Ovis aries: one gene and its partners. The protein of the gene in region 2 interacts with the protein of the main gene of each other region in a biochemical or structural test. Links are inferred from orthologs where the notes say so. Each region holds a gene or a part of one and is shown on either strand. Other genes may lie near its edges.

Region 1 (4,224 bases), on a different chromosome or scaffold from region 2:
GAAATCAGGAGGCTAAGAACTAGGCTCACCAGCTATGTGAGTGTGGACAGGCCACCACTGGTCTATGCGCCTCAGCTTCCTCACAAGGCATCTTACAATAACTCCCTGTCTAAATGAAGAAGCAGTGGACCCATGAATGTGCTGAGAAGTGGGTGGAAGGAAGGAGGCGGGTGGGCGCGGCAGTGCACAGAATCTCCAGGGAGGTTAGATTCTGAGTTGGGTTGCAAAGTCAGCGGACCACCATTCTGGGAGTGTGGTCCACCCTGGGTGCTCAGGGTTCCTGGTGAGGGGTTGCTCCTGGCGCTGCAGGAGGAGGATCTGCGGGGTAGTTACATTTTTTTACTCGCCTTTCGGCTCTGGTGGAAGGAAGGAAGACATTGAAGTCAAAAGTTCTGTCCATCTGGAAGAGCCGCTGGAGGGGAAAGTCTTTAGGGGCTGGAGAAGTCGGGAGCTGCTTCCCAATGCTTGGGGGCGGGATGGGGAGCTAGGGAGCCAAGGTGGATGGGGGCCAGGAGGTCTGGCGGGGCGGCTGACCCTACCCTGAGCGCTCGGCCGAGAGGGGGCGCTGTGGCCTACTCCTCGCCCAGTCCACTGGATTCCCAGCCGCTATCCCCTGCAGCGCAATGCGCGCTCGGCTTTCCCCCTCCTCCGCGGTCAGAGGGCGGCTAGTCCTGCCCGGCACCGCCATCTCGCCTGCTCTTGGGGTTCCTAGGTTCACCTCCTTGCCGGGACCAAACTGGGCAGGCGCTTAGTTAGTAGAATGAATTTACAAACGAATGAATGAATGAGAAGGGTTCCTCCCTCAGAGCTGTCACACCTCAGCGCGCTCCTGGCGTGTCAGTGCCAAAGGCGCGGGGATCTGGCCCTCGCCCCGCTGAGGTGGGGGCGGCGGGGACTTTCTCCCCGCCCCGCGGCAGGGAGAGAACTGCCCGAACGCAGCGCCCAGCTTCACCCGGCTTCCGCGGCGGCACTGCTCAGTCCGGGCTGCCCTATTCCCCAGCCTCCAATCGCTTCTCTCTTGTAGATTGACCTGGGCCCCCCCAGGACCCCCTCAGACTCTCCTGGACTCCTCGGGCCCCAACCTGAAAGCCGGCGGAAGGAGGGAAGCTGCCTCCTCTCCCCCCCCCCCCCCCCACCTCCCCAGCTTCTCCCCGGGCTGCGGCGGCCGCCAGCGCTGCCAGTGCGCCCCGCCGATTGCCGCAAACCCGGCTCGAGGAAAGGGGGTCAGCGCCGTTAGGGCGCGGGGAGCCGCCCCCGGAACGAGCCGGGGCGGAGGAGGCGGGCCGGGGGAGGGAGCGGAGGGGCGAGGCGCTGAGGCGGGAGCGGAGGGGAGGGCAGAGGAAAGGAGGGGAGGGGACGCCCAGGCGAGGGGGCGGGGAGCCGCGGCGAGTGTCGGCGCGGACCGAGGGGGAGACGGCGGGGGCGAGGCTGGCTCCCGGCGGGCGAGAGGCGGCCGCGGGCCGGGCTGAGTCCGGAAGCGGCGGCTGGACTTGCCCGGGAAGAGGAGAGCGAGAGCCCTCCGGGCCGGGCTGCGGGGCCGGGGAGCGCGGAGCCGGGCACCTCCGCCACCGGCGGCGACACAGAAGCCGCCCGAGCCCGCCCCCGCCGGGATGTCCCGGGGACCCAGGCTTCCAGCGCGGTGACCGAGCGAGCCCGAGGATGGGACGGCGCCCGCAGCTCCGGCTTGTCAAGGTAAGAGCGAGCCAGTCCGCCCTCGAGCACCGGGGGCCCCCAGTTCCGGGCGCAGTGGGCAGTGGGTGTGAAGCGGACGGTGTGATTGGGTGTCACTGAGCAGAACTGTGCCCAGGTCCGGGGGCGGCCGGGGTGTGAGGGGCAGGCCAGCTCCCTCTTCTTGGACCTCTGGAGCCGGCGTTGAGCGGTAAGGGGAGAACTCAGGTGAAAAAAAAAAAGAAAAAAGAAATCATTGTGGCGAAGCTTCGGGAATGTTGGCTGGTGTTGGGGGGTGGGAGTCGGGGGGGTCCGCCCACCCCGGCAACCAGCTCTGCGAGGGAAATCGCTCTAGGCTTTGGGAACCGACTCAGGGTTCCTCTTCCCACCCGTCCCGTGTAGACCGGGGTCCCGGGACAGGAAGCTCGGGAGGGGACAGAGGGTTCCCCATCTGCCCCAGCGCGCCCCCGCCCTGTTCCTGGGAGCTCCTTCCTGCCCCTGAAAGTCCGGGGAGATAAATGTCCCCCGCGCCTGCGAGCCCTGGATCAATATCGCAATCTCCGGAGAGCCAACCGAGCATCCGGCGGTAGTTACCGTTCCGCCGCCGCCGTCGCCGCCGCCGCCGGCCCGCCGGCGGGATCGCAGCGCTCGCTCTCCGGTCCTTTGCACTCGCGGTTTCCTGTGCCTGCCCGCTCCTGTCTGGGTTCTGGCGACGCGATTCCTGCGCCCGGAGTTTAGGAAGGTCTCCAGATCTCACGTCCGGACAGATCTCACGTCTGTCCACTGAAGTTCGGGGGTGACGAGGGCTCCCCCTGGGCCCCGGGGAAGGTCTTGAGGGTCGACACCCCGGCCTGCAGCTAGTGACAGCCGCCACTTGCAGGTGCCAGGCGATTCCCAAAGCGGTTCGCCTTGCGGGGGTAGGCGCGCAAGCAGCAGCCGGAGAGAGGGGTGGGTGGGCCTCGGCGGGCTCTCGCCTGAGGATCCCGACTCCGCAGGGTCAGAGTGGACAGCGTGAGCAGACAGCGGCTTGATGGGATTCAGCGCATTTAAAAAGCGATTACACTCAAAAGAATGGATTTGGGGGAGGGGTGCGGATTGACTGATTTCCATTTTTCCATCAGTTATTAAACCAGCTGTACGTATGTAGCACACAAAGTGATTTGAGTTAAACCACCAAGGTTTAAAAATGCAACTGCTGCCTGGTCATCAATTGAGACGTTGTTAATTACCTAGGTTTCCTCTATTCTCTTTGTCCCTCTCCCGAATAGTTATGTTAGTTTTTTTAAAAGTGAGTAAAGGTTGGTCTGATTAAACCCATATCCCCTCCCCCACGCCTTAACTGGGATTAGGGGTGAACCCATAATTTATTTTGGGTGATCAGGGAGACCCAGGGAGGGAAGCTGGGGGAAAAACATCCAGAGAGCTTGAATAGATGGCACTGAATGGGAATATTTTCCCAAAGGCTAGTGTGTACCAAACCTGGGTCTAAATTTACAAAACAGAAAAAATTCAACGTTTCAAACAGATTCGAAGGATTGAACTGTAGGTTTTTGTTTTTAAGTTTACATGGTAATAGGTAAATGTTCTTTCTCTGGACTTTGTTTGAATCGTGTGCAGATTTCTGCTTAGAATTATGCTTTTCTAAAAGAAAAAAAATTTCTCTTATTGTTGTCGTTGCGTGTTTGTGTGTGTGTATGCTTCCTGCTAGGTCGTCGGATGTGTGTCCTTTATGTCTGGCCTAATGAGCTCAGTAGGTGCTCAGTAAAGGCACTGAATGAGTAAGATGCAGTGAATGAATGGTCAGCTAATGCAGTTTCATTTAAATAATTACTTTCTTCTTTTATTTATATGGCATATACAACTTGTTGGGTAGTATTCTACCTGCTTTACGAATATTAAGTCATACTGTCCTCCTAACAGCTCCGGGAAGGTGAAATTATTCCTGAGCACAGAGAGGCTCTGTAACTTGCTCAAGGTCATGCAGCCAGTGAATGGTGGAGCCAGAATTCAAACTCAGGCACTTGAACTCTAAGACTTTCTTTTGTTAGCTTTTACCAGAAAATATTTGAAGCTGCTAAAACCTCCTTGACTTCTGCCAGATGGGAGATAACTCAGGCAGTTTTGTCAGTATGAACTTCTGAACCTAGGTGAGTGGTGGTGGGTGCTGATTTAGTCACTACGTTGTGTCTGACTCTTGTAACCCCGTGGACTGTACCCCGCCAAGCTCCTCTGTCCATGGGATTTCCCAGGCAAGAAATACTGGAGTGTGTTGCCGCTTCCATCCCCAGGGGATCTTCCTGACCCAGGGATCGAACCCACGTCTCCTGCATTGGCAGGCAGATTCTTTACCGCTGAGCCACCAGGGAAACCCGAATCTAGGTGGGTTTCATCCAATATGTGGCTCTGACCCTCAACAAGTCAGCCAGTATCAGGAAAGGTGGGAAGGATCCGCTCTGGGGCCCCTGTTGTGGGCATCACACTGAACTGATTACAGAGAACTGGGGGAGAGTGTGTGCACGTGTGCGTGAGTGAGAATGTGTGTGTGCATGGGAGGGG
Region 2 (3,626 bases):
AGATGCCATGATCTTAGTTTTTTGAATGCTGAGCTTCAAGCCAACATTTTCACTCTCCTCTTTCACTTTCATCAAGAGGTGTTTTAGTTCCTCTTCACTTTCTGCCATAAGGGTGGTGTCATCTGCATATCTGAGGTTATTGATATTTCTCCCGGTAATCTTGATTCCAGCTTGTGCTTCTTCCAGCCCAGCGTTTCTCCTGATGTACTCTGCATATAAGTTAAATAAGCAGGGTGACAATATACAGCCTTGATGTACTCCTTTTCCTATTTGGAACCAGTCTGTTGTTCCATGTCCAGTTCTAACTGTTGCTTCCTGACCTGCATACAGGTTTCTCGAGAGGCAGATCAGGTGGTCTGGTATTCCCATCTCTTTCAGAATTTTCCACAGTTTATTGTGATCCACATAGTCAAAGGCTTTGGCATAGTCAATAAAGCAGAAATAGATGTTTTTCTGGAACTCTCTTGCTTTTTCCATGATCCAGTGGATGTTGGCAATTTGATCTCTGGTTCCTCTGCCTTTTCTAAAACCTACTCTTTTTAAAGTTCTTTTACCATATTGGGCACTACAGAGTGTTGAGTGGATAGTAGTGTGTATATGTCAATCCCAATTTCTCAATTTATCCTCTTCCCCTTTCCCCCAGTAACAGTATGTTTATTTTCTGTATCATTGGCTTCCCTGATGGCTTGGCAGTAATGAATCCGCTTGCAGTGCAGGAGACACAGGTTCAGTTCTTGGGTCGGGAAGATCCTCTAGAGGAGGGCATGGTAACCCACTCCAGTATTCTTACCAGGAAAATCCCGTGGACAGAGGAGCCTGGTGGGCTATGGTCTGTGGGGTTTCAAAGAGTCAGATACAATCACAGGACTGAACACACATGCACGCATTTCTGTCTTGTCAGTAAGTTCATTTGTACCATGTTCTTTCCATTCCACACATACGCAGTGTCATGTGGTATCAGTCCTTCTCTGTCTGACTGACTTCATTCAGGATGACAGTCTTCAGGGCCATTCATGTTGCTGCAAATGGCAGTGTTTCACTTTTTATGGCTGAGTAATATTCCAGTGTATATATTTACCACAGCTTCTTTATGCATTTGTCTGTCGACAGACATTTAGGTTGCTTCCTTGTCCTGGCTGTTGTAAATAGTGATACAGTATTCATCGGGGTGCATGCGTCTTTTTGAGTTGTGGGGTTTGTTTTTTTTTCAGGTTTATGCCCAGGAGTGGGATTGCTGGATCATATGAGAGCTCTGTTTTTAATTTTTGAAGGAACTTTTCCATACTGTTCTCCATAGTGGCTGTACCAGTTTGCATTTCCACCAACAGTGAGGGGCGGGGTCCCTTTTCTCCACATCCTCTTCAGCATTTATTGTTTGTAGATTTCTTGATAATGGCCATCTGGACCAGTGTGAGGTGATACCTCATTGTAGTTTTGATTTGCATCTCTCTGATAATAAGTAATGTTGAGCATCTTTTCATATGCCTCTTGGCCATCTGTATGTCTTCTTTGGAGAAATGTCTATTTAGATCTTCTACCCATTTTTTGATATGAATATATTTAATTAAGCTCCATGAGCTGTTTATATATTTTGAAGATTAAACCCTTTTCAGTCGCTTTGTTTCCAAACATTTTCTCCCATTCTGAGAGTTGTCTTTATTTTGTTTATGGTTCATTTGCCATGAAAAAAGCTTTTAAGTTTATTTATGTCCCATTTATTTTTGTCCTTATTGTCATTATTCTAGGAGACAGATCCAAAAATATGTTGCTACAATTCATGTCAGAAAGTATCTAGTCCTACAATTAGGTCTTTAATCCATTTTGAATTTATTTTTGTATATGGTATTAGAGAATGTTCTAACCTTCATTCTTTTTATGTAACTATCCAGTTGTCCCAGCACCACTTATTGAAACGGCTGTCTTTTCTCCATTGTATGTTCTTGCCTCCTGTGTTATAGATTACTTGACCATAAGTGTGTGGGTTTATTTCTGTGCTCTCTATTCTGTTGCATTGATTTATATATTCCTTTTTGTACCAGTACCATATTGTTTTGATTACCGTAGCTATGTATTATAGTCTGAAGTCAAGAAAGTGATTCCTCAAAAAAAAAAAAAAAACAGAAAGCGATTCCTCTAGCTCTCTTCTTCTTTCTCAAGATTGTTTTGGCTATTTGTGTTTTTTTCTGTTTCCATACAGATTTTACATTTTTTTTTGTTCTAGTTCTGTGAAAAATCCCTTGGCAGTTTGATAGGGATTGCATTGAATCTGTAGATTGCCTTGGGTAACATGGTCATTTTACCAATGTTAATTCTTCCAGCGCAATAACATGATATGTCTTTCCAGCTGATTGTGTAATCTTTAATTTCTTTCATTAGTGAACTATAGTTTTCCAAGTACAGGTCTTTTACCTTGTTAAGTAGGTTTATTTCTAGGTATTTTATTCTTTTTGATGCAGTGGTAAATAGGATTATTTCCTTAATTTAGTATATAGAAATACTACAAATTTCTGTAGATTTTTTTGTATCCTGCAACTTTAGCAAAATCATTGATGAACTCTAGGAATTTTCTGGTGATGTCTTTAGGATTTTCCGCATATAGTCACATCATCTGCAAACAGTGAGTTTTACTTCTTTCTTACCAATTTGTCTTCCTTTTATTTCTTTTTCTCATCTGATTGCTATAGCTAGGACTTCCAAAAGTATGTTGAATAAAAGTATTGAGAGTGGGCATTTTTGTCTTGCTCCTGATCTTAGAGGAAATGTTTACACTTTATCTTCTCTTAAATGTCAGGTTATAACAGCTCTGGACCTAATCCAAATACTTAGGATTACCAATTATAGGATTCTAATTGCCGGCAAAGAAAATGAGCAAGATTTGTTCACCTAGTTGCAAGTGAATCTTCGGTCACTCTGTTCCCTTAAAATATATACTGCTTTAGAATTTAGGAACAACAAATATTTCTCTTTTGTGTATACTAAACTTGAACTGATAGCCTCATGTAGTAGGAGTATTGTAAGAATTATCCCAGTTGCTATGAACAATATACAAAAAAAAAAAAAAAAAACTTTCACCATGACATTCAATGGACTTTACTTTTAGTAGCTACTCCACAGAATTGCATTTTCTGAGTTTAATATTTTTATTCTGTTGTAGTGATGGAAGTGATAGTGGTACTTTCTAAGTTATTGAATTACTTTGTATTTCCTGTCTTCCTTGTGCCCAACCCAAAGAATCCAGAAGAGATTACATGGTGTGGTTATTTGAAGTGCCATTTTGGAGACAGGTCAATTTCTATGACTGTTTTCAGGTTGAACTGCAAAAATTTGTTGGTATGCATAGTTTTGAGTTTTGAGTCAGAAAGTCCTTGACTTAGTAGTTAAGAATTTTAGTAAGTCTTAGTAGACCATATAGAGCAACCCACACTTTATATCTTATCAGATATACATTGGAGCCATCATTCCTCTGGGCGCAGCTGAGAAAGATGGTCGGCTCCGTGCAGCTGATGAGCTGATGTGCATTGATGGAATCCCTGTTAAAGGGAAATCACACAAACAAGTCCTAGACCTAATGACAGCCGCTGCTCGAAATGGCCACGTGTTATTAACTGTCAGAAGGAAGATCTTCT
Region 3 (4,388 bases), on a different chromosome or scaffold from region 2:
CTGAGTTGAGGACCAGTACTGTGGTGGAATTAGACAAGGGGCTTGCACACCTTTGGCTACATTGTGTGTTGATGGGCCACCTTCCTGTAGGTACCTCCCCACATATAGTCACACCACTGCAGAGCTAATGACTCACTAATTTTAAACCCATTCAGTTGCCAACCCAACAGCCTTTGATATAACTTTACATGCTATTGGATTTTAATCTTTTTGAGTATTTATATATGTTTTCTTCTCTCATCCCTCCAAAATTAATCCTAGAGTTTTGAGAATCTGGGAACTTGGGCAAAGGAGAAGGCAACGCAGCAGACCAAGAAATTTGAAATCTCAGTTCACTACTGTGTCACCCAAAGCCAATGTACCTTTTTTGTTTGCACTGACCCAGCTCAAGTCATACAATCACGTGAGTAACAGAACACAAAATCCAGGTGTTATTACTGAACATGAAAAGTCTGAAAAGTAATTAAACGTGTTCTAGCTTCCGTGGCGGTGTCATTTACTCTAACATGCCTGTCCTTAAGCCTCTCTCTCTCTTTACATTACCGGCACACACCGTTGCACCATACTCACACATCCATCAGCTGGGACCTGGGAGTGTGTATTTTTCCAACTGGTCCTCAGCATTAGCTGTCAGCTGCACAAACCTTCCTTTGCTTTCTGCATCTGCTGCCCTGGAACGACAGAAGCTTCTTGCAAGAATAGCTCCCGGGGAGCGTTCCTGACAGATGCGCGCTCTGCTTTAGCAAGGCGCTCGCTGGAAAGTTTCTTCTAACCGCTCACACCCGCCTCCGATCCGATCCCCGAGCTGGCAGGACGCGAGCTGGCTGGGACTCCTCTTGACAGAGGAAGGGCTTTACACACACCCTCCTAGGCTGCCCAATACAAGAAACAGTCTTGCAGCCAGACTCCTCCACCCCCAGCGAACAGACCGTCCAAGGCGCTCCGGTGTTTCGAGAACACCGAAGTCCCCTTCCTGCTAAAGGGCGCGTGAGCTCTGCTCTGCAGGAAACCTGGGCACTGGAGGTAGATGGGATGGGTGGCGGCGGGTAGAGCCGGGGCGCAGCGGAAAGCAAACGCCGGAGGCAAACAGGGCGCAGGAGAGGGGAGATTGGGGGCCGCGGGAGGGGGCAGGGTGGAAGCCGGGCGCGACTGGGAACCGAGGGGAACTGGGCACTGGAGCCAAGCGGGCTCTGGAAGGGACGCGCGGGCAGGAACCCGCGAGCGCTGGGGAGGGGCTTGCTTGGCGATCTGCCCCGGACTCCCTAGAGCCGCAGAACCGCCGGTGGAGGCGGGGTGCTAGGAGTTGGCGGGGCCGGGTGGGGGTGGGGGGGAACCAGAGAGGGGCGTGCCTTCGCCAGGATTGGCTGCAGGAGCCTGACGCGAGGCCCCGGGGGTTGGCTCGGGGGAGTGGGAGCCGGGTGGGGTGGGTGCTGGGTGCCGGGGCTGCGGGCTCCGCGAGCTCAGAAACATGCTGAGGTCCCGGCAGCTGTTCCAGCAGCGACAGCGGCTCCAGCAGCAGCGGCGGCGGCGGCGGCGGCGACAGCGCACGGCTCCGGCGGGGAAGGCGCCCGGCGCCCATGCCTCCGGCCCCGCGCCGCGGCTGCGCTGACCTGGCCGCGACCTCCCTCCGCGCGCCCCGCCGTTCGGGCCTCTGGGGGGGTTCCCCAACCGCGGCCCAACTCCGCCACACCCCTCTCCCCCGGCCTCCGCAGCTCGGCATGGGCGCGGGGGCGCTCGCCCTGGGCGCCTCCGAGCCCTGCAACCTGTCATCGGCCGCGCCGGTCCCCGACGGCGCGGCCACGGCGGCGCGGCTGCTAGTTCCCGCGTCGCCGCCCGCCTCGCTGCTGACCTCGGCCAGCGAGGGACCCCCGCTGCTGTCGCAGCAGTGGACGGTCGGCATGGGCCTGCTGATGGCATTCATTGTGCTGCTCATCGTGGCGGGCAACGTGCTGGTGATCGTGGCCATCGCCAAGACTCCGCGGCTGCAGACGCTCACCAACCTCTTCATCATGTCGCTGGCCAGCGCAGACCTGGTCATGGGTCTGCTGGTAGTGCCGTTTGGAGCCACAATCGTGGTGTGGGGCCGCTGGGAGTATGGCTCCTTCTTCTGCGAGCTCTGGACCTCGGTGGACGTGCTGTGCGTGACGGCCAGCATCGAGACCCTGTGTGTCATCGCCCTGGACCGCTACCTCGCCATCACGTCGCCCTTCCGCTACCAGAGCCTGCTGACCCGCGCGCGGGCGCGGGCCCTCGTGTGCACCGTGTGGGCCATCTCGGCGCTGGTGTCCTTCCTGCCCATCTTCATGCAGTGGTGGCGGGACAAGGACGCCAAGGCGAGCCGGTGCTACAACGACCCCGAGTGCTGCGACTTCATCATCAACGAGGGCTACGCGATCACCTCTTCCGTCGTCTCCTTCTACGTGCCCCTGTGCATCATGGCCTTCGTGTACCTGCGGGTGTTCCGCGAGGCCCAGAAGCAGGTGAAGAAGATCGACAGCTGCGAGCGCCGCTTCCTCAGCGGCCCCGCGCGGCTGCCCTCGCCCGCGCCCTCGCCCGGGCCGCCGCTCCCTGCCGCCGCGGTGGCCAACGGGCGCGCCAACAAGCGGCGGCCCTCGCGCCTCGTGGCCCTGCGCGAGCAGAAGGCCCTCAAGACGCTGGGCATCATCATGGGCGTGTTCACGCTCTGCTGGCTGCCCTTCTTCCTGGCCAACGTGGTGAAGGCCTTCCACCGCGACCTGGTGCCCGACCGCCTCTTCGTCTTCTTCAACTGGCTGGGCTACGCCAACTCGGCCTTCAACCCCATCATCTACTGCCGCAGCCCCGACTTCCGCAAGGCCTTCCAGCGCCTGCTCTGCTGCGCGCGCCGGGCCGCCTGCGGGAGCCACGGGGCCGCCGGGGACCCGCCGCGCGCCGCGGGCTGCCTGGCGGTGGCCCGGCCGTCGCCGTCTCCCGGGGCCGCCTCGGACGACGACGACGACGACGACGAAGACGACGTCGGGGCCGCGCCGCCCGTGCGCCTGCTGCAGCCCTGGGCTGGCTACAACGGCGGGGCGGCGGCGAACAGCGACTCGAGCCCGGACGAGCCAAGCCGCCCGGGCTGCGCCTCGGAATCCAAGGTGTAGGGCCGGGCGCCCCTCCCCGCCTTCCCCGGCTTCCCCAGTCCGGGCGCGGGCTGTGCGCTCCAGGAGCAAGAGAACCCGGGCGCCCCTGAACCGCTTCCCCGGGAAAGAGGTCTGTGTTTACTCGAGACCGAAAGCAGGTGAACTCGAAGCCTGCGAACCTCGTCTGCATCATCCAAGGGCAAATAGGAAAGCCACGGACCGTCGCACAGAAAGGAAAGTTTGGGGAGAGGTGGGAGAAGTTTGGGGAGGGGTGGAAGAGTGGCTTACTGATTGTTCTTGGGGTTCTTTTTCCTGTTTCTGGTCCAGCCTTCTGTGTGTGCGTGTGATGCATCTTTAGAGTCCCTCCTCCCCCCGCCCCCCCGCCACGTGGCTTTTAACACTTTCTGCGATGACTGGGAAGGGAAGGGGGAAGCGTTAGGAGGTAAAAGTCTCTCGACTTAGTTTCCATCCCATTCCTGGGAACAGAAGCGGTCAGCCAGAGAGAGAGGAGAGAGAATGACACTTTATCAGGACGTTGTTTCCTTTTGCTTTTCAGAGAAATTCCATTTTAATTTCTGAGGAATTATTTCTCCTGTTCTGAAAGCCGAGGGCAAGGATGGATGCAAAAATCGCGTTTCAGGAAGTTTTATGCTCTTCTTGGAACAAGCCTCACCTTGCTTCCCTTTCGGAGGGCAAGCGGGCTGTCCCTGAACGCCTCCTCGGTGGTCAGGCTGAGGGGTTCCTACCTCACTCACACGGTGCACATTGCACGGCCAGATAGAGAGACTTGTTTATATTAAACAGCTTATTTATGTATCAATACTAGTTGGAAGGACCAGGCGCTGAGCCTTCGTGACATGTGACTCTGTCCATTGAAGACAGGACAGAAAAAGGAAAAAGAAAAAAGGAAAACAATTCAGATTACTGCACATGTGGTATAGACAAAAAATCAAAACAAAAAAGCCGTGATTCAAAGTGGCATTTTTTTTGCACAGTATTAGGAACTGTAAAGTCCACAGAAAATGTTATTTGCACAAAAAGAAATGAAATATTTTTTAATGGGAGTGGGGTGGGGCAGATCTTAAAAACTAAAATAAAATTCAGATTCTATCTCTGTTGTCTGTTATGTTATTGAGCTAGCAATTTATTGGAAAATACCTTTTTATACTCTTTTATCATGGTACTGTATCCATATTATAAAAAATTATCTTAAGGATTTTTTTTATTATTTTTTTATGTCCAAGGGCACACGTGAATCTGCTGGTGAAATTTAGCACTTGTGTGTAA

Evidence for each region.
Region 1: the proteins of MAGI3 (region 2) and CRHR1 form a complex in vitro, tested with the Homo sapiens proteins (2 studies listed by BioGRID and IntAct, with this or other methods). The link is inferred for Ovis aries from reciprocal best matches to the Homo sapiens genes MAGI3 and CRHR1.
Region 3: the proteins of MAGI3 (region 2) and ADRB1 interact in a test that uses a peptide from one of them, tested with the Homo sapiens proteins (2 studies listed by IntAct, with this or other methods). The link is inferred for Ovis aries from reciprocal best matches to the Homo sapiens genes MAGI3 and ADRB1.

The regions. Positions count from the first base shown.
Region 1 is NC_056064.1:45,528,568-45,532,791, forward strand, and holds the start of CRHR1 (corticotropin-releasing factor receptor 1), read left to right. Parts: upstream 1-1,388; 5' UTR 1,389-1,659; coding exon 1,660-1,692; intron 1,693-4,224.
Region 2 is NC_056054.1:90,959,765-90,963,390, forward strand, and holds part of MAGI3 (membrane-associated guanylate kinase, WW and PDZ domain-containing protein 3), read left to right. Parts: intron 1-3,439; coding exon 3,440-3,626.
Region 3 is NC_056075.1:34,061,209-34,065,596, forward strand, and holds ADRB1 (beta-1 adrenergic receptor), read left to right. Parts: upstream 1-1,462; 5' UTR 1,463-1,577; coding exon 1,578-3,122; 3' UTR 3,123-4,211; downstream 4,212-4,388. UniProt on the Homo sapiens protein: Beta-adrenergic receptors mediate the catecholamine-induced activation of adenylate cyclase through the action of G proteins. This receptor binds epinephrine and norepinephrine with approximately equal affinity.